2 linked regions of the Macaca fascicularis genome follow. The protein of the gene in region 1 interacts with the protein of each later gene in a pairwise test. Links are inferred from orthologs where the notes say so. Each region holds a gene or a part of one and is shown on either strand. Other genes may lie near its edges.

Region 1 (11,332 bases):
ACACACCACGCCCAGCTAATTTATTTTTATTTTTTTTGAAGACAGAGTTTCACTCTTGTTGCCCAGGCTGAAGCGCAATGGCGTGATCTTGGCTTACTACAACCTCTGCCTCCCAGGTTCAAGTGATTCTCCTACCTCAGCCTCCCGAGTAGCTGGGATTACAGGCATGTGCCACCACGCCCGGCTAATTTTGTAGTTTTAGTAGAGATGGGGTTTCACCATGTTGGCCAGGCTGGTTTCAAACTCCTGACCTCAAGTGATCTGCCCTCCTTAGCTTCCCAAAGGGTTGAGATTACAGGCATGAGCCACCACGCCCGGCCTGGAATGTTTTCTTAAACAGCTACATTTTGCACCTGTTTTCTCAAAGCTTCCTTCTTTACCTACCTGCATAAGATGCCTGAAATCTTTGCCCCCAGTCCACACTCCAGACCAATTAAGAATCCTTAAGAATGACTCAAGCAGGCATCAGTACTTGTAAAGCTCCCCAGGTGATTCCAATGCCCAACCAAAGTTAAGAACAGCTGAAAACCTCCCCCAACCGAGGGGCACAGTGAATAGGTCATAGGTGTGCCTATTATTCCTATTAGGAATTGGGACACACAAGCATCCTTTTACCCGTGTGTGCCATTCAAATATTGGGACTATGTTAAAGGCAGCACCCCGACTGTAGGAAGCAGTTCATTTGTTTGGATGAGATGAAGTTGTCCCTATATAACCTCTACCTCGGGCCAGTAGTTAGAGTGAAATATGTTTCAGTAGATGTTTGACAGCAAGTCTGCTTAAAGTAGATTAAAAACGAGTTATCTGAATGTTAAAATAAACCTCATTATCAGCAAAGAGCTGAGCTTCATTATCAAACTGAAGGGCATGTAATTAGAACCATGATATTGATGATGCTCACCCTGAGTGAGGGGAAAAAACCCTTACAATTACAGCATTAGATTATAAAAACTTCCTCTTTAATCAAGGCTTTTAACATGAACAGATTTCTTGAATAAAATGGAAAGTTTCCAGTACACTGAAACATAAATCCACAAGTCACCATACATACAACACCCGGCAGGAAAAAAACAAAAACAGCAAGTTTACATGATCTCTGTTAACAGCCATGGTCTCAAACTCAGATGCTTCCTCCATCTGCCAAGTGTGTTCTGGATACAGAGCACATCGTGGCTTCTGGGGTCACACTCAGCTGAGGCTGTGGGTCCACAGAGCACTCATCTGGCTAGACTATGGTGGTGGTGGCTCTACTCAAGAAGCAAAGCAGTTACCAGCACATTCAAACAGTGTATTGAACATCTTTTAAATATCAAAGTGAGAAACAAGAAGGCAACATAATAATATTATCAGAAAGATGTTAGGAAGTAAGGACAGCTGTGTAAAGCTTGAGGCTGAAAAGTAGCTTGCCAGCTTCATTTCTTTGGCTTCTTGGGTAGTGGGCGCCGGAACAGCAAGATGTGAGGTTCTGAAAGAGTGAGGGAAATCTAAGAGACAAGCGCACACCATTCTATGTACAACCTATAGTGTATTCCACTACCATCTTCCCAGCTATCACCCACTCAGATCTTTATAACTAAATAAAGACTTAAGCATATGGCCTTGAGAAGCAGACCCAGAAGTCTGGACTGTCTGCCAAATACAGAATTGTTAATATCAGTTCTTTTGCTATGTTTATACAGCCCCAGGGTGTCCTTTATTAAGTTTTGCCTGGCAGCTGGGTGTCTGGTGCCTTATCAATAAATATACTTTCCTTTGCTTATTTGGAATACATCCAAGAATGTTTTCTGATGGAGAATGAGGCAGGGACTATGACCAGGCTATATGTGGCCTTAAAAAGAATACCCTCTGATTGCATGGAAGATTACAGGAGGTTTTTTAGTGACAGGTTGTCTCTGAACTTCCCAGATATTTTAATCTTATTTTTGGTCACTAGTTTTTTTTTTTTTTTTTTAATCCCCCATGACTAGAGGGGGAAGAAACCAGTAAACTATTTCCTATCTCCCTATTTGGGTTATACAATCTTATTCCTTCATTCTCTCAGTGTAGCAGTTCTATATGGTTGTTTTTAGCCAGTGCACTGACCTGGTTCATGGATCATATAATGGACCCATCCCTGACTCTGCTGAACGCCAAGATTCCTCCATTCAGATTCAGACATCAAATGAGTTTTAGGGACCAGCTTGGCTATGTCCTTGGGCAGCATGACATGTCTGTAACAGAAACGGAGAAGTGACGAATTTGTTAGTACCAGATATAGTCTCAGACAACTGCCTGTTTACAAGGCCAAGAAAGGAAAGAAAAACTAGTTTCTGATGTCAGAGTTTATATAATTTTATTGTGGGGTAGCAGCAGCTAGAAATACAGGCTATGTTATATAAATTCTGAGAGTATATGAAAAATACAAATTAGTGAATAATTCCAGTGAATAAGCACTTAAGTTCCAGGCACATTTTCTCTGCCTTCATGGACCTTATAGTCTTCTAGTTGATTGCCTACAATATAATGGGAGCCCCACGGAGCACACAGTGTTAATAATTAGAAGGAAGGAAGAGAAGTTATTCTGTGGAGAGGAAACGCCTTTTATGGAGTACTGTGTGGACAAGTCATCACAAAGGATGAAATGAAATATCCTTTAAAATCTAAGCCAGGCAGATCGAGACCATCCTGGCTAACACGGTGAAACCCCGTCTCTACTAAAAAATACAAAAAACTAGCCGGGCGAGGTGGCGGGCGCCTATAGTCCCAGCTACTCGGGAGGCTGAGGCAGGAGAATGGCGTGAACCTGGGAGGCGGAGCTTGCAGTGAGCCGAGATCCGGCCACTGCACTCCAGCCTGGGTGACAGAGCGAGACTCCGTCTCAAAAAAAAAAAAAAAAAAAATCTAAGCCAGGCATGGTGGCACATACCTATAGTCCCAGCTACTCGGGAGGCTGAGGCAGGAGAGTAATTTGAACCCAGGAGTTTGACAAAGATACAGTATGAAGTTTGAAATCTTTGATTAAAATACAGAATAGGCCAGGGGCAGTGGCTCATGCCTGTAATCCTAGCATTTTGGGAGGCTGAGGTGGGTGGATCACTTGAGGTCAGGAGTTTGAGACCAGCCTGACCAACAACGTGAAACCCCATCTCTACTAAAAATACAAAAAAAAGAGCCGGGTGTGGTGGCATGCACCTGTAATCCCAGCTATTTGGGAGGCTGAGGCAGGAGAGAATCCCTTGAGTCCAGGAGGCGGAGGTTGTAGTGAGCTGAGATCTGGGCAATAGAGTGAGATTCCATCTCAAAAAAAAGAGAAAAAAAAAAAAAGACAAAAGGGCTGCAGTGCACAATGGTTGTGCCTGTGAATAGCCACTGTACTCCAGTCTGGGCAATAAAGCAAGACCTTGTCTCTTCCAAAAAAAAAAAAAAAAAAAATCTATCCTGAATCTTATCTTCCTAATTCTGGAGGGATGTACCTTGAGACTTTTTTTGGGAAATTCCGTGCTTTTCTAACCAAGGATAAGTCTCCCTTCATGGCAAAGAAATTATTACCCTGATGTGACTCAAACTAATCCAGATAGTCTTCATCATGCTCAGTGAAAATGTACTAAGTTCTCTCTCTGTGCTAGTAACAGTGGTTTCCCCCCCATTCTCCTAAAAGAAAAAATTCTAGTCCAAATATATGAAAACAGCTCACATCCTAACACCACCCTGGCACAAAATTTGGCTTCAATACATAGACCAAAAAACCCCTCTTAAACCAAAATGCCATTGCCAAGTTAAAAGTTTCATCTTCTAGGGGATGAAATGGTGATTCCTTCCCAGCTCTGCAAATCTCTTATAAGCACATACAGTTTTAAGTTAGTTTAGTTCAGATGTAGAGGAAAACAGCTGAGGAAAAGACAGTTAATTATATCAAAGAGGATCTGGAGTCGTCTTGGTATAAAGATGATTATATATGTGTCAATGCACATCGAGTTCTCTGAAGACCTAAAGCCCTGAACTAGGCTGGGTGAAGAGACAAGAAAAGCAAGTTTTCATTTTATGTTCTCCATCTGAGGAGACAAGATAACAAACCAGGAAGTGGTCTTAATTATCACAATGTAGATTAGCATAATGCCAACATTTTGGAGTCCTGTGTCTTCCCTTATTCCCAATCGAGATTATGCACTTGAAATTTATCAAACCCGAATGCTGTATCCAGTGCCAGGATTCCATCATCCCCACCCTTGGCAGATGGCTATCCAGTGTCTTCTAAACAATTTCAGTCAAGAGGTGCTTTCTCCCACATACCTTTTTCTTAGAGTCTCATCTCAGGCTCTGTCCTCTAGGAAGCTTTCCCCAACTTTCCCTCTTCCTTTTTTTTTCCTCTCAGTATTTTAAGTTTCATGTTCAAGGGTACGTGTGCAGGTTTGTTATATAGGTAAACTCCTGACTCGGGGGTTTGGTGTACAGATTCTTTTATGACCCAGGTACTAAGCATAGTACCCGACAGTTTTTTTTTCCCTGAACCTCTCCCTCCTCCCACCCTTCTCCCTCAAGTAGGCCCCAACGTCTATTGTTCCCCTCTTTCTGTCCCAGTGTTCTCATCTCCGACATATAAATGAAAACACGCGTATTTAGTTTACTACTGGTTTCGTTTTCAATGGTGGTGAAAGAGTCATCACACTGAATTGGCCTTTAGGACACTCCCCCGCCCCCACACCAAGCCCAGGGAAGAAGACCGACCGAAAGTAAGAAGTCAGCCTCTAAGGCGGTGGCGGCGGGGGTTCTCGAAGGGTGGGGTGGGGGGGGGTCCTGGAGTTAGCAAAAGTAGGGGACTGACTTTCTAGCCCCACCCCAACACCCGCGCACAGCTAGGAAGCCGCAGCCTTCGGGTCGCCAGTTCCCTCTCCTTATCAAGTCTCGTGTGCTCCCATCACACCCTGTAATGGCTCCTAGCAAAGGGTGTTATCACCTTTCTGGTGTTCGTCGGTATCACTCACAGTTTTAAGTTTGTGAACAGCAGAGACCATGTGTTATCCTTGCACTTTAGCAGAACACCTGAAACCTGTTAAGTATTCCGTAACCGTTTCCTTTGATAAAGGGCATCTATTAGACCCATATTAAGTATTTTCTCAATGCTCCTAGCCAGTTTTATTCCATTTCAGTCCCAAGCGGTCCCTTTCCTAACACAAGCCAGACAACCATGCCCCTTGTCTTTTTCACGAGTTAATAAGCAATATTCAACTCTCTCAGCGCTACTCTCGCATTAGGGACGCGAGGAAACTCCAAGCTCCGCTTTTGCTACGTTCTCCCACTGGATTCCACAGGATTACTGTAAAACTAACAGTTTCTACAAGGCAAGTTAAGTTTGCCCAATAAAGTTCAGAGAATGATCCAGAAACCCTCATGGGTGTGGGTGGTCAGTACTCTAACCACGCCTACCACTCCCTCCTCTCAACTGAGGGCAGACTCCAAATTCGCAACCACTTTATTGTTTTATGAGAGGCTCCCACCTCCGCGCATGCGCCTTACGCCTTCCACCAATATCACACCCTTGCCCGTTCACATCTCGTACGCATGCGCCAATTCTATCGCCTCAGTTCCTGTTACTAATTGCTTGTTTCCTCAGCGGTCAAAGCTCACGACCTCGCTGTTGCCCCCGCGCCAGCACTAACCGATACTCAAACTCCTCGTCGTCGTATTTGTCCGAATAGTAAATCTGTTTGTGCGACATGATCGCTCGGTTTGCTAGCCTTCAGCCCCGCGCCGCCAACCTCCAAGCAACTCCCAGCAGCACGCGCTCCCACCCACTTTGGCCTCGCTTTCAAACACGCCGCCCGCACTTCCTATTGGTCCGTTTGGCTCAAGGCGGGACAGCTGTACTTCCAAGCCTCCGATTGGCTTAGATTTACTTCTCTTGGGTCCTTATTGGAGGGCAGTTCTTACGTTTCTCAAGAACGAGCGTGGGTCGAAAGTAGGCGTCTTATTGGCCACCACTACCTCTGTGCACGATTTCGCGCTGCCATTGGCTAACTCGGGAAAGTGGGAAGCGTGAAGGAGGGACCCTGAGGTAGAGGGTCAGGGGTTAGTGAGGCCGGAAGTGAGTGTAATAAAGTTTCTCCAGGGAGGCAGGGCCCGGGGAGAAAGTTGGAGCGGTAACCTAAGCTGGCAGTGGCGTGATCCGGAACCAAATCGGCCCGCGGTGCGGTGCGGAGACTCCATGAGGCCCTGGTGAGTCTTGACTTTTTTCTCCTTAGGTGACTCACTCTTCCACTCCGGAACCCCTCTCCCGGGACCCCACTTCCGGTCTTCATTTGTAAGTCCCGCCCCTGAGACCCCTCTCCCCGGAAGTCCCACCTCCCAACCTCTGGGGGCTCCCCCGAACCCCGACTTGATTTTTATTTTTTGTCTCCGACCCCACCCTGTAGCCCAGTTTTCCTGGAAGTCCCACCCCCAGACACGTTCCAAGCCCTACTACGTGAAACCCTTGGTTACTCCTTCCATTCTCCGAAACTCCGCCTCCTAGCAACGATCCTCTGCTAACTCCTGTCAAAAAGCCTATCTCCCAAAAGGGCAAAACCCTGCTCCTCAAAGAACGATTCGAATTTGTTGGAGCCACGCCTCTTCGGGGCTCCGCCCCTCCGAAGCCACGCCCTGTTCGTAATCCGTGTCTGACTGTCCAGAAAGCCTCCCCGCATAGAAGTCTGAAGTTCGCGTCCTGGCGGACCACGCCCCCTTACGAGCTTTGTGGGACCTGGGTCATCAGCTGTAAAGCCTTGTCGTCAATCCCTGAAACTCCACCTGCTTATATTTTCCTGTCCTTTGTCTTTTTTTGGGCTTTGGGATCAGTTTTCCGAGCACTCTCGTGCTCCCCCAGGTGGGAAGTCAAAGTTCCTATCTCTGACTGTGAAGAGTGAGATTAAAGGCAGCCGTTTTCCTTTCTTTCTTTTCTTTCTTTCTTTTTGTTTTTTTTGAGACAGAGTTTCGCTCTTGTTGCCCAGGCTAGAGTGCAATGGTGCGATCTCGACTCACCGCAACCTCCGCCTCCTGGGTTCAAGTGATTCTCCTGCCTCAGCCTCCCGAGTAGCTGGGATTATAGGCGCCCGCCACCACGCCCGGCTAATTTTTGTATTTTTAGTAGAGAGGGGGGTTTCACCATGTTGACTAGGCTAGCCTCGAACTCCTGACCTCAGATGATCCACCCGTCTCAGCCTCCTTAAGTGCTGGGATTACAGGCGTGAGCCACCGCGCCCGGCCCCATTTTCCTCTTTCTTAACCTCCTCCAAGGGTAGAACTATTTGAAGGGGCTGAACTTAGGGTTTGGCACCAGAGGGAGAGAGACTTGCTGTCAGACTCCCAGCCTCATCTCCTGGCCTTCCCTTCCCAGGACCAACTCCATCCCAGAAGTAGCTCTAGGCCTGCCTATCCATAAGTGGATAGGACCATGGATTTGTTGGTGTGTGGCATGTGGGTGTGACAGGAGCAAGTTTTCTACCAGAAAAACGGTGGTTTGGAGTGGGGGTAGATAATAGTGCCCTTTTTGTTGTTTGATTTTTTTCTTTTTTTTTTAAGGGACAGTTCAGTTGCTGCTTCTCTGTCTCTTCCCCTCCCCCTAACCATAGTTCTTGTCTGGGCATTCCTCCTGGCCCCGTTTGCCCAGCCTTCCCTGCTGGAAACATTCCTGAGGCTTTCGCCATTTCCTGCCACTTCCCACCCCTCTCCCCTCCTCCCAGTTGGGCTGAGAAGCCACATACAGCTTTTTCCCTACACCCAATCACCTTGACTTCCAGTAGGCAATCTCTTTTCTCCCCATGCACATTTCAACAGTCATACTTCTTTCTTTTCTTTCAAACGCCCACACCCGTTGGTCTTTCCCTGGCCCTGGATACTGCAGGCTCCCACAGAACATCTCAACAGATGAGGACATCCTAGTGTGTGTTTATGTGTTTTGGGGGTGTGAGGCTATAGTGGAATCCTTTCCTCATTCTCTCTATGCCCGAGAGCTGGCTGGAAAAGAAGTGATAAAATTCCTTCTCAGGATTGGCTGACAGAGTGACAAGGCTCTTCTGGAATGAGCACTAAGGGGAGATTTAAGAGTTAAGCACAGTATCTAACACACTTTAAGTGTTAATGTTGTTAATCAGGATAATTATCTATCTATATTTTAATCCTCTGAAGTAAATCTAAGGGCAATTCCAAGGTGAGCTTGGGTGAATACATTTTTTTTTTTTTTTTTTTTGAGGCAGAGTTTTGCTCTTGTCACCCAGGCTGGAGTGCAATGGCACGATCTCAGCTCACTGCAACCTCCACCTCCTGGGTTCAAGCGATTCTCCTGCCTCAGCCTCCCGAGCTGGGATTACAGGTGCTCACCACCACGCCCAGCTAATTTTTGTAGTTTTAGTAGAGACGGGGTTTCACCATGTTGACCAGGCTGGTCTCAATCTTCTGACTTCAGGTGATCCACCCGCCTCGGCCTCCCAAAGTGCTGGGATTACAGGTGTGAGCCACCTTACCCAGCGGGAATATGTATCTTTAACTTGTTTTTTGTTTTTTGGTCGCTTTCCAGCTTTGCCTATGGCATTCTCCAGAAGAGCAGTGGCAGGAAGCCGTGGGTGGCAGGAATGAGTTTGGGACTGTTCCCTGTGTCCAGCTTCAACCCATCTTCTCCTGACACCCCTTTCTCCTGTGCTTACTTGTTTTTTCTCCTGTTCTTATTGACACAGATGTGTCTTCTGATCTCTCTGTCCCTTCCTGGCCTGTCGTTTCTGCTTCTCTTGGAGAACTGTTTCTTCCACCTCCTCCAGCCAGGCTCCTCCCCTGGTGTGAGGGACACTGTGCTGTTTGGTGGGGCTTTGGGTCCTGTAAGAGGAGGGATATGAATTGGGGTGGTTTGGAGTGGGAGTGGGGACCTGATTGCCTCATTCTCACCCTTGACAGTGTGCTGTGTTAACAAGGCCTGTGGAAAGGGGAGAGGACAGTGCTTGGCTATGAGCCATGGGTCTTGGTGTGGTAGATGGCATACATAGAGAACAAGCCGTGACCAGCATGTCCTCTTGTTCCCCTCTTGCCTGGTAGCTTCCTGATGTACCATCCAGGTTGGACTTTATTCCCCTTTTTTCACCAACTTTGCTTCTCCTCTTGACCCTGCTCTGCATCCATTGGGACCACTTCCTTCCCATCCCCACTTCGCTAGCTCCAGTCCACAGCTGTCGTAGCAGAGGATGCTAATGGCCCAGGCTTACTGTATGGGGTAGTGGTTGGGGGTGGCCTGGGCTGGAGGGTGGGGAATTCGAGTGTCCAACCAGAACAGGAAGGGAAATGCTGAGCTCTGAGATCTCCTCCCTTTTCCACCCGCAGCTGCCTCTGTTTCCTCCCTCATTCCCCTCTACTCTAGCCTGGCTTCCTGCCCCCTTTGGCCTGCCTGTGTCCGGTTTCGAGTGACCCAGACCTCCTATCTCCTTTCTTTCCATCCAACTCCTCCATGCTTCCCTCCCACCCCCACTTTCCTTCTCCCCAGATTACTAGTTGTTTGTGTAGGGCAGGGGAGAGGAGCTTGGATAGCCCTACCCTCTGCTCCAGTCCGAGGTTGGGGCGGGGTGGGGGCTCAGCCCCTCTGAGCCTGTGAGTCAGCACTGTCCTCGTGATTGGTCTCTCCCTTTAGCTCTCCGCCCCTGGGGAGGAGCCAGGCAGCTCTGGGTCCAGCCTGTTCTCTTCTCAGCCAGAGAAGAGGCTCCACGTTGGGCGGGGATGGGGCCCGAAACTGTCTGGGTCTGAGCTGGGGAGCGGAAGCCACTTGTCCCTCTCCCTCCCCAGGACTTCTGTGACTCCTGGGCCACAGAGGTCCGACCAGGCTAAGGGCCTGGGAATACCCCCTGCCTGGCCCCCTTGCCCAAACTGGCAGGGGGGCCAGGCCGGGCAGCAGCCCCTCTCTCACCTCAGCTATGGATCTCCTGCCCCCCAAGCCCAAGTACAATCCACTCCGGAATGAGTCTCTGTCATCGCTGGAGGAGGGGGCTTCAGGGTCCACCCCCCCGGAGGAGCTGCCTTCCCCATCAGCTTCATCCCTGGGGCCCATCCTGCCTCCTCTGCCTGGGGACGATAGTCCCACTACTCTGTGCTCCTTCTTCCCCCGGATGAGCAACCTGAGGCTGGCCAACCCGGCTGGGGGGCGCCCAGGGTCTAAGGGGGAGCCAGGAAGGGCAGCCGATGATGGGGAGGGGATCGTAGGGGCAGCCATGCCAGACTCAGGCCCCCTACCCCTCCTCCAGGACATGAACAAGCTGAGTGGAGGCGGCGGGCGCAGGACTCGGGTGGAAGGGGGCCAGCTGGGGGGCGAGGAGTGGACCCGCCACGGGAGCTTTGTCAATAAGCCCACGCGGGGCTGGCTGCATCCCAACGACAAAGTCATGGGACCCGGGGTTTCCTACTTGGTTCGGGTGAGTGAACATCCTCCTTTCCATTGCCTCCCAGACCCCTCCAGTTCTTCTGCTCACTCCAGCTTGGCTGGAATTCTTTTTTCCTGCTGTTCCCCAACAACCCTGTTTCAGTGTTCTATTTCCTAAACCTTTCCCATCCCTTCCCCAATTCTGTAGCCCTTTCCCTTCCAGCTCTGCCTGGGCCCCCTTCCTTCTTTTGACTCCCCTACCCCCACCCTGCCATGCTTAGCACAATGCCCAGCATGGCAGAAGCTCTTAATAAGTGCTGGAAGGAGTGACTTCTTGATCCTTTCCTCCATTCTCCTCTCGCTTTCTGGAGTTGTTGCTCCATCCCAGTCAGTGCCTGTCAGTCCCCTCCAAACTCTCTCCCCAGTGCGTGAGGTCCTTCTAGCCTGCCTTTTCTTTCTCTGCTCGTTCCCTGTTGTCTTTCACCTTGGTTGTGGGATGTAGACACGGAAGAGGGCAGAACTTCTTCCTCTTTACTTCTCTTAGGGACCATATGGGCAAAGTCCTAGGGCCCTTTGTGAAGGGACTGGGGTCAGGGAGCGGCTGACCTGCTGTCCTCTCCTCCCTCCCCTTAGTACATGGGCTGTGTGGAGGTCCTTCAGTCAATGCGTGCCCTGGACTTCAACACCCGGACTCAGGTTACCAGGTTAGTGGGGAGGGAGTGGACTGTGGGAGTCCTGGGATTAGTGAGGCCATGGGAAAGGGCGGAGGGGAGTGGGTCACTTGGGTGCTGCTGGTTGGGGCTGATCTTTGGGTAGTAAAGGGGATTGAGAGAAAGCTGGGATAGTGATTCTGCCTCTTACTGAAAGGAGGCCCCTCTGGCCCGGATCCTCCTTACCTGTCCAGCCTTGGGAGTTGTGGGGAAGGTAGCAGAAGCAGCTGGCAGGTGGAGCTGGAGTAGCAAATGGGGGTAGATGGAAGGTTGCTGC
Region 2 (9,958 bases), on another chromosome or scaffold:
CTCAGGAGGCTGAGGCGGGAGAATCGCTTGAACCCAGGAGGCAGAGTTTGCGGTGAGCTGAGATCGTGTCACTGCACTCCAGCCTGGGCGACAGAGCGAGACTGTTTCAAAAGACAAAAACAAACAAAAAAAGTAGGTGGATGGGATCATCTGGGGAGAGACTGAAAAATAGGGAAGGTGGTGGTAGAAAGAGAAAACCTTGAAAACCAGCCATGAGAGCAGAAGCGTCGAGAAATGGGCCTACATGAGGGACAGAGAAGGAACATCTAGGACAGATGAGGAAAGCCAGAAGAGGATGATGTCCCCTGAAGCCACGGAGTTGAGTTTCCAGCAGGAGGGTAGATGGGGGTGACTGAGCGTGTCTATGTTGCTTGGCTGTGAACCTGAACCTGAGCCACTGAACCCACCTCTGTTTGGCACCTTGATTTTGGTAGGTCTGCCTGATTCCAGCTCCTGCTGATGTCACTTCCAGGCACTGCCCACACCTGGCCCAGGCTGCATCAATGCAAGATTCTGGCCAGGTCTCCTCTACTGCCTCCCTCTCTCACCTCCCCGTAGCCAGTCCTGTTTTGTCCATTGTTGATATCTTGGTGAGACAAATTGTATTTTAGTTAAAAAGACATAGGGCCAGGTGCAGTGGCTCATGCCTGTAATCTCAGCATTTTGGGAGGCCAAGGCAGGTGGATCACAAGGTCAGAAGATTGAGACCATCCTGGCTAACATGGCGAAACCCAGTCTCTACTAAAAATACAAAAAAATTAGCCAGGCATGGTGGCGGGCACCTGTAGTCCCAGCTACTCAGGAGGCTGAGGCAGAGCTTGCAGTGACAGTGAGCCGAGATGGCACTACATTCCAGCCCGGGCGACAGAGTGAGACTCTGTCTCAAAAAAAGAAAAGAAAAGAAAAAAAGGACATAGAGGCCAGGTGTGGTGGCTCATGCCTATAATCCCAGCACTTTGGGACACAGATGCAGGTGGATCACCTGAGGTCAGGAGCTGGAGACCAGACTGGCCAGCATGGAGAAACCCCATCTCTACTAAAAATACAAAAATTAGCTGGGCGTGATGGCGCATGCCTGTAATTCTAGCTACTCAGGAGGCTGAGGCAGGAGAATCACTTGAACCCAGGAGGTGGAGGTTGCAGTGAGCCAAGATGGTGACATTGCGTCCCAGCCTGGGCAACAAGAGTGAAACTCTGTCTCAAAAAAAAAAAAAAAAAAAAAAAAAAAAGACAGAGAATATGGGATATTTTTTCTTATGTCATTTTTACTACTATTAATATACACTTTTCTACCTTGAAAAATAAAATCTCCAAACTTTGAATTTAAACATTGGGAATGGTTACTTTGTGGTCAAGATTACTCTATTAACAATGTTTTGTTTACAAAACATTGACTATTTGATAGGTCATAGTTTAGGGAAACTGAAAGCTAAACTTTTACAATGAGAAATGAAGACCATGCATTTGCATGGGAGAAAAAAAAATTTGGGGGCAACAATTATATTTGGTACCTACCTTTTGAAAAACTAAAGGGGGACAGCTCTGTCTAGATCATTTCTTGCCGTTTTCTCTTGCTTCTAGACATTGTCTGGTCAATCAGAAGGTTGCACACAAGAGCTGTTGTTGTTCGCTCTGCAAAGAAAAAGGCCTGGGAACTTTGCTTTTTATTGATTTTATTTCTCCAAGAGTTTTCTTACAAAGTGAATTGACCTTGCACAATTAGTTTGATGTAATCTTAAGAAAATACATGAAGTATGCTTTAGAAAAAATCATGCTCTAACCAGCCATCTCATTTGGCAATCATTTTCCACAGCTCTTGCCCTTTTTGGGGTGGAGAGGTGGGGTTACATGTGAATGATTACATCTGCGTACAAGAGATCCAAACTCACGTTGACCTCCCTCTGCAACACCAGCTGGTGTTGGGAGACAGAGCGCTGAGGCAGCCAGGGCTTCAGTCCCTCATGCTCTTTGGCCAGCAGTCCTCAAGTGGCATCTCCAGAAGACCTGGCTGAGGTCTGGGCAGTCCACACACAAAAACCTAGCATTTCCTCCCACAATAACAGCATTTGTAGAACACACAGCAAGAGCTTAAATCCATGCCATGGAGGAAAAGGGATTTTCTCGTCCCCCTTTGCAGTCACAGGACACTGTAGCTAGAGAACCTTCTATGCCAGGGTTCCGCATCTCCAGGCCCTCATCCGAGCCCTCCTTATTATCTCCCCTCCCCTCCAGAATGTAGGGGACACTTTCTAGACTCTATGTTGTTTCCAGCCCATAGTTGTTCAGCCCAGCAACTGGGCATCTGGAGAGGTTTTCAATCCACAAATCGTGGATTTAAAGGGAGTAGCTGCTCCTTTTCTCTGGAGCACAGCCCAACAGCCCCTGCTATATCCCTAAATTGATTTTGATTTTGAAGCAGCAGGTGCTGTCATGGGTTCATTCTTGTCCACCCAGTCAAGCCTGTGTGGACGGGCCTATATGGGGACACAGAAACCTACATGAGGCTATTTTTCTGTCTTCTCTAGTCAGTGCTTATAAGTGTCCCCACTTAGCCAACAAATTTGGAGATAGGGATGGGTTTCTGGCTTGCAGCAGCTGAGTTGCTGTCCTTGACTCTCCACATTCTGATTTTTCTTGGGGTTTGGGGACAACTAAGGGGCCCCAAAGCCTCAGATGTACAGCCCATAGAGGAAGGTGGGCAAGGGCGTGTGTCTCCATCATTTCCTTCCTTTTGAAGCATTTACTATCCGAGTCGCCAGCTGGTTCCAAAGCGTCTCTCCCACCAGGCCAGGTGGTGTCCAGACCAGAAGGAGGCCTGGCTGACACAGGAGAACGGCAGTAGGAGGAGGCATGGGTGGCAGCCAAGAGACCCTGAGAAGCAGTGTCTCTGAAGCTGTTTCCAGATTCATCCGGCCTGGTAGGATCTCTGTCTGATTCCATGAGAGTGTGGGAGCAAAGGCCCTAGGGAAGAGGCTGCTAAGAGGTTGGATAGAACTTCCTGGACAACTCTAAGACTCCCAGGAATGCTGGGCAGTTTCATATCTAAGAGTCAGTGAAAGATGTGGAGAGGCTGCCCCGGCTGGGGAAGGAAGAGGGTAAAGGTGGCATTGGGGTGGGGGTAGTTGGGTAGGGGGCTCAGTCCTTAGTCATTTTTCCTCCACGCAGAATCTCACTCTGAACTTGGAGAGGCTGCAGAGTCCCCATCCTCGGGGTCCTGCCCATTGGGGGAGATGGGCTGACCTCCCTTCACACGCTTCCACTTCATCCTTCGGTTCTGGAACCACACTTTGACCTAGGGGAGGAAGCAAAGGAGCCTGGGCACTCCAGGGCTGGTGTGACCTCCTTCCCATGTCAATGCTCAGGCTAGCCAGGGTGTAACTCCAGGGACCCCAGCTTGAAACCATCACTTACCACTCTCTACTCCCCAAACGCCCCAGGAACTAAGACCAAAGAGAGGACACACCAATCTGCCCAGAGGTCTGTCTTGTGTCTTGGGATAAAGCCCCAGACAGGGGAACATGTTCTAAAAACACTCTGCATTGGCCCCACCCTCTTCACATGCCCTGCCCCACCTGTGCCAGGTCCCCCTGCGCCCTACCTCCATTCCCCAAGGGTCTGGGAGCAGAGGTCATCAGCCTTATCCTTAGGCACATTTATAGAGAACTTTTTGGTTTAGATAGCTCTGGTCAGCACATTTTCTCATCTAAGCTTGAGTATTACCTGCAGGATTATGGTCCCATTTTACAGATAGAGACCCAGAGGTCCCAGGGCTAGAAGAAGTGATAGAGGCAGGACTTGAATCTAAGTCTTCTGATTCAAAATCCAGCCCTCTAGCAGAGCGCTCTATCAACTGAAATCTGCTATCAAATATTACTGTTATTATTACTATTATTCCATATCAGAGCCTGGGTGTGGGGGTGTGGGGTGGCTGAAGGGAAAGTCCAAAACAAAGGGCCAGGGAAGTTTTTCTCAAAGTGTGCCCAGGAACCAGCTGCATATCCAGATCGCCTAGAGAACATACTAGAAATACAGATTCTCAGGCCCACTCATTATGGTAAAATCTCTCTCCAGACCTCTGGAATCCATATTTTGAACAAGTGCCTTAGAGGATTCCAACATATACTCAAGTTTGGGAATAGCCAGACCAGAGCTCCCAACCTAACTGCATATGAGAATCACCTAGGGGGCCTTTGAAAAATTCTGAGGCCTGTATCCCATCCCAGGCCAATTAAAATCATCCCTAGGGGTAGAGCCCAGACATCAGCACTATTAAAATCTCCCCAGGGGTTGGGCATGGTAGCTCACGCCTGTAATCCCAGCACTTTAGGAGGCCGAGGAGGGCGGATCACCTGAGGTCAGGAGTTTGAGACCATCCTGGTCAACATTGTGAAACCCCGCCTCTACTAAAAAAGAAGACAAAAATTAGCCAGGCGTGATGGCGCATGCCAGTAGTCCCAGCTACTCAGGAGGCTAAGGCAGGAGAATTTCTTGAAGCCAGGAGGTGGAGGTTACAGTGAGCTGAGAACGCACCACTGCACTCCAGCCTGGGTGACAGAGCGAGACTCCGTCTCAAAAGACAAAAAACAAAAAACAAAAAAACCCAAAACTCCCCAGGCTATTCTCAGGTATGGCCACAGTTGAAAACCACTGGACTGGCTGGAGGAAGAAAAAGAAGGTGAAGGGAGTGGTGGTGGGAAAGGAGGGAAGGGAGGGAGATGGGAGAGCAAATAAGAGGAGGGGCCGCTGGGGGCGCACCTGGCGCTCAGAGAGGTCCAGGTTTACCGCGATCTCGTATCTGCGGAGCCGAGTCAGGTAGTTATGATGGGCAAATTCCGCCTCCAGCTCTCGCAGCTGCTCCTTGGTGAAGGCCGTCCTCTCCTTGCGGGCCTTGCTGCTGCCCTCCGGCTTCCCTCTGTTCTCTTGGTTGTCTGGGGAGAGAGGACCCCAAAACAGGAAGACATGGGCTGAAGGAGATTCCATTCCCTTTCTTTTGCCCTTGAGCAACTAGGCAGTCTTTCCCACTCTCCCTTAATTTTACAGGATGCTGAGAAAAAAGCTACACTGTCCTTTTTATTCCTTCTGGTGTCTTACCCATATTAGAACTGGGAAGGTTTTTTTTTTTTTTTTTTTTTTTTTTTTTTTTTTTTTTTTTTTTTTTTTTGGCTGTCCCCTGCCCCTCCTCCCGGAACTTTCTTTTATTCCCAAAGCACAAGAAGCTACTCTTGGCTGTTTAATGATCTCTACTCCCCAGCCCACCCCCCAGTATGACATTACTTGTGGTCATAGGCTTGAGGGGTGAGATGCTCTAAAACAAAGCCTCAAACTATGGTCCTCAGATCAGCAGCATCAGCATTACTTGAGAGATTGTTAGGAATGCAAATCCTAGTCTCACTCCAGACCTACTGAGTCAGAAACTCTGGGGATGGCGCTCAGCAGTCTATTTTTGCAAACCCTCCAGATGCCTCTGGTGCTGTTTAAGTCCGCCGCTCTAAGACCTCATCACTCAAAGGAGTGCCTGGGTGCCAGCAGCATCAGCAGCACCAGGGAGCTGTTCAGATCTGAAGGATCTCAGGCCTGCCCCATACCTACCTACCGAATCAGAATCTGCCCCAGAGGGCCAAATCTGGAAAACCATCTGGACCCCTCTGAAGGAGGTTGCATGTTAGATTCAGTGGGGCTCAGTCATAACTGTCAACAGGGTCAGGGAACACACTCTGTGCCAGGTGCTGTACCTGACATATATTAGCCTCTTAATCCTCAATAGCCCAACCAAGTGGTTCTAGTATTAGTCTCACTTTATGGACCAGAAAATGAACACAGAGAAGTTAAGCAAATTGTCCAAGTTTATTCAGCCAGGGGGTGTGGGAGACAAGAATCAAATTCAGGCGATTTGACATACACATATTGTTCAAATGAAAAATATGTAGGGGCCAGGCGCGGTGGCTCACGCCTGTAATCCTAGCACTTTGGGAGGCCAAGGTGGGCGGATCACGAGGTCAGGAGTTCGAGACCAGCCTGGTCAACATGGTGAAACCCCGTCTCTACTAAAAACACAAAAAGTTAGCTGGGCATGGTGGCACGCGCCTGTAATCCCAGCTTCTTGGGAGGCTGAGGCAAGAGAATCGCTTGAACCCAGGAGGCGGAGGCTGCAGTGAGCCGAGATCACGCCATTGCACTCCAGCCTGGGCGACAGAGCAAGGCTCCGTCTTGGGGAAAAAAAAAAAAAAAAAAAAAAAAAAAAAAAAATATATATATATATATATATATATATATAGGAAGGGCTTACAAACGATAAAGTCCTGAACAAATAAAAGGGGTTGCATGGTTATCTCTTGAGCAGACGGGTGGGAGGCAGCTCTACCTTCACTTTAATGAATGGAGGTGGTGGGTGGAGAGGAGGTGGGAAGAAGACCACACACCTACACAATTAACTCGCGATGCATGCCACATGGCCAGGGAATGGCTGCAGGAGCCATGCGTGCGCGGCTTTAACATTTAAAAGTCGTTGGCTTCATTGTCCTCCTTTTTCTTTTGTTTTTGAGACGGAGTCTCGCTCGGCTCACTGCAAGCTCCTCCTCCCGGGTTCACGTCATACTCCTGCCTCAGCCTCCCGAGTAGCTGGGACTACAAGTGCTTGCCACCACGCCCGGCTAATTTTTTTTTTTTTTTTTTTTTTTTTTTTTTTTTTTGTATTTTTAGTAGAGACGGGGTTTCACCGTGTTAGCCAGGATGCTGTCTATCTCCTGACCTCGTGATCCGCCCACCTCGGCCTCCCAAAATGCTGGGATTACAGGCGTAAGTCACCGCGCCCGGCCCATTGTAATTTTAGACACGGAAACCGTGGCTCCGAGTGAGGTGCTTTACCGAAACCTGCGCCCCAACTTCCTGCTCCCTGAAAGACCCATCTCTGCCTTGCTGGAGAGGAGTGTTGGAAAGAGGGATCCGGTGTTTTCAGAGGCCGGGTTTAAGCTACCTGGGCGGCTGGGCTGGGGAATTCAGACCAGCTAGTGTAATGCAGAGAAGCCGCCTACGCAGTCGGCTAAGCAGCCGCATTGGGAGTGGGTGGCGAGGCAGAAACCCCACATTAACCCGGCTATCCGCTTTGGAGCTTTGAGCCTAGCTGGTTCCCCTCCCAGCACCTCCCTCTATTGCTTTCCACTCAATCCCTTTGTATTTCAGTTTCCGCGTCCTCCGCCTCCGCGCCCGTCTGCCTCGGGCTGGGCTGCTCTCTAGCAGTACGCGCGCGGTAAAGTGATTTGGGCACTTGGCCCGGCCAACCTCGCTTTGCGCGTTCCCGGCCCCCGCCGAGGCATGGAAGGGGAGTGGGTGCCGCCGTTCCGGGAACCCGAGAAAGCGGGGGAGGGGCCTGATAGTCCCGGTGCCTGATAGTCCCGGTGCCTGGGTCAGGGGTGTCGTGGCGCCCTGGCCCGGGGGTCCGCGTCCGAACCGGGTTGGCCGCCCGCGGGGCGCGCCCGGGAAGCAGGGCAGGGGGCCGAGTTCCCGGCGCGGGCTGCCTGCCCGGCGGCCTCTAGCTCCAGGCCGGAGAAGGCAGGTCCAGACCCCTCCGGAAGCGGGAGCGTGGGCTGGAGGGAAGGACGCGCAGCCCCGGGCCGGGGTCCCCGAGGAGCCCTCCGGCCTTGGCCGCCGCCAGTCCCGCGCTCCCTCCTGGCAGCAGGCCCGGGAGGGTCGTTCACAAGCGGATGACGGGCTTCCTGTAGCACAGCCCGGCCCTCGGGCCTGGAGAGAGGCAGGAAACCTGGGCTTAGACGACGGGCGCGGTCGGGGACTGGTTTCCCAATCTCCTCCTGTCCCGAGGCTCAGTGTTTCCCAGCCCTTCCTTTCCACGGTTGCGGGGAGTGGATGGCCCAGAGGACTTGCTCAGAGGCTTGAATCCTGAATCTCCTTGCTGGAGACTGAGGAAATCACTTAACTTCTCTGGGTGTCGGTCTCCTCATTAAGAAATTGAGGAAAACAATTTCACCTACCTCCTAGGGTTATTGGAAGACTGAACGCGTTAATATGTGTGTGCAAAATGCTATTAAAGTTGAAAAGTGGCGGCTCACGCCTGTAATCCCAGCACTTTAGGAGGCCAAGGCAGGCGGATGACCTGAGGTCAGGAGTTCAAGACCAGCCTGGGCAACATGGTGAAACCCCGTCTCTACTAAAAATACAAAAACTAGCCGGGCGTGGTGACGGGCACCTGTAATCCCAGCTACTCTGGAGGCTGAGGCAGGAGAATCACTTGAACCCAGAAGGCGGAGGTTGCAGTGAGCCGAGATTGCACCACTGCACTCCAGCCTGGGTGACAGAGTGAGAATACATCATAAAAAAAAAAAAAAAAAAAAAAAAAAAAAAGCCACGAGCGGTGGCTCACGCCTGTAATCCCAGCATTTTGGGAAGCCGAGGTGGGTGGATCACCTGAGGTCGGGAGTTCGCGACCAGCCTGACCAACACGGAGAAACACCGTCTCTACTAAAAATACAAACAAACAAAAAAAATTAGCCCAGTGTGGTGGTGCATGCCTGTAATCCCAGCTACTCGGGAGGCAGAGGCAGGAGAATCGCTAGAACCTGGAAACCGGAGGTTGCATTGAGCCCAGATTGCGCCATTGCTCTCCAGTCTGGGCAACAAGAACAAAACTCCCTCTCAAAAAAGAAAAAAAAAATCTAAAAATGCTGGACAAATATATTCTCCAATTTATCAGTTCCACGAGATGACACTGAAGGGCTAGGATAGAAACAGCTGCGCTTCTTGAAGGCTTCTGAGTGTGCCCAGAGGCATCCGCAGCTTTAACCTCACCACAGGGCAGCCTATGAGTGAATACTGTTCTTACCCCCTTTAGTACTCTTACCTGGGTTTGTGTGATAATTTGATTAATAGCTGTCTCCCAGGGAAACACTTTTTCTCACTCTAGCATCTAGCCATAGTTGCTTCTGTATCTGGCACAACTGCCCCCCCCCACCCCGCCCCCACCAGTTCTGCACATAATTCTCCTAGAGAGAAGAGGAAAAAGTACTTGCTAAGTATTTGCTAAATCATCCTGTTATACAGAGGAGGCAGCCTCAGACAGGCCCAGGAACTTGCCCAGTGTGCCTGGCAGCTTTTAGGTGACAGAAGGGAGATTTGAACCCAGATCTATCTGATTAGAAGCAAGGCTCTCCACTGTCTCCTGGCTAGCTGGCCCAGGTTGGGGCCTGGAGCTGGACCATGGCTGCTCGGCTTGTCACCACTTCCAGAGGTCCTGGGGGCACTATCCGATTTGCTACCCATACCTACTCTCCAAGGCCTGCTTAGGTGTGTACAGGTGCCTCATGGTGTCCCCCAAAACAACTTTCCCCGCCCTAGTTCTGCACATAGTCCTCCCTAGAGAGAAAAGGGAAAAGCAGGAGAGGACCCTTTTGGAGTTGGTCTTGGCCTGGTTGTGTGGGCAGGGCAGCTGACCACTGCCAGCCAAGCTATGCCCCATCCCTGGCCACCTCTCCTGTCTGTCATTGTCCTGATTTAGCCTCTGGGGCAGAGGAAACAGGAAGCAGCAGCCAGGGCGGGAACTGAGGGTCTCAGCTAACCCCCTGTGTGAACCTGGGGGCAATACCTACTAATGGTGGGTGGGATGGATATTGGCTCTGGGAGAGCGGTTGTCCCTTGTCAGCTTCCCAGAGTGGGATCAACGTTCACCACTGTTGGAAATGATGAAGGGACCAGAAGTATGGGAAGCAAGCTATGAAAGTTGAAGTGAAAGTTATGGCTCTCTTTGTTCTGCAACAGTATTACAAATTGCAACATATTCATCAAGATGGAAACACTAAGAGCACTTGCATTCCGTTTCTGGGAGCTGTTCGGTCATCCTGCTCATGGGCATAGTTCGTGCAACCTGCCACATGAAAGTAACTCTTGCTAGGCCAGGTGTGGTGGCTCACGCTTGTAATCCCAGCACTTTGGGAGGCCGAGGCGGGCGGAT

The links.
Region 2: the proteins of CKS1B (region 1) and MEOX1 interact in binary tests that used the Homo sapiens proteins (3 or more experiments, as listed by UniProt). The two-hybrid records come from large-scale screens. The link is inferred for Macaca fascicularis from reciprocal best matches to the Homo sapiens genes CKS1B and MEOX1.

The regions. Positions count from the first base shown.
Region 1 is NC_088375.1:106,166,437-106,177,768, forward strand, and holds CKS1B (cyclin-dependent kinases regulatory subunit 1), read right to left. Parts: upstream 5,761-11,332; 5' UTR 5,696-5,760; coding exon 5,637-5,695; intron 2,211-5,636; coding exon 2,083-2,210; intron 1,466-2,082; coding exon 1,413-1,465; 3' UTR 941-1,412; downstream 1-940. Other genes in the region: SHC1 (SHC-transforming protein 1), read left to right, coding at 9,903-10,397, 10,979-11,049.
Region 2 is NC_088390.1:64,671,682-64,681,639, forward strand, and holds the end of MEOX1 (homeobox protein MOX-1), read right to left. Parts: intron 4,929-9,958; coding exon 4,756-4,928; intron 3,293-4,755; coding exon 3,170-3,292; coding exon of another isoform or gene 3,147-3,169; 3' UTR 1,657-3,146; downstream 1-1,656. UniProt on the Homo sapiens protein: Mesodermal transcription factor that plays a key role in somitogenesis and is specifically required for sclerotome development. Required for maintenance of the sclerotome polarity and formation of the cranio-cervical joints.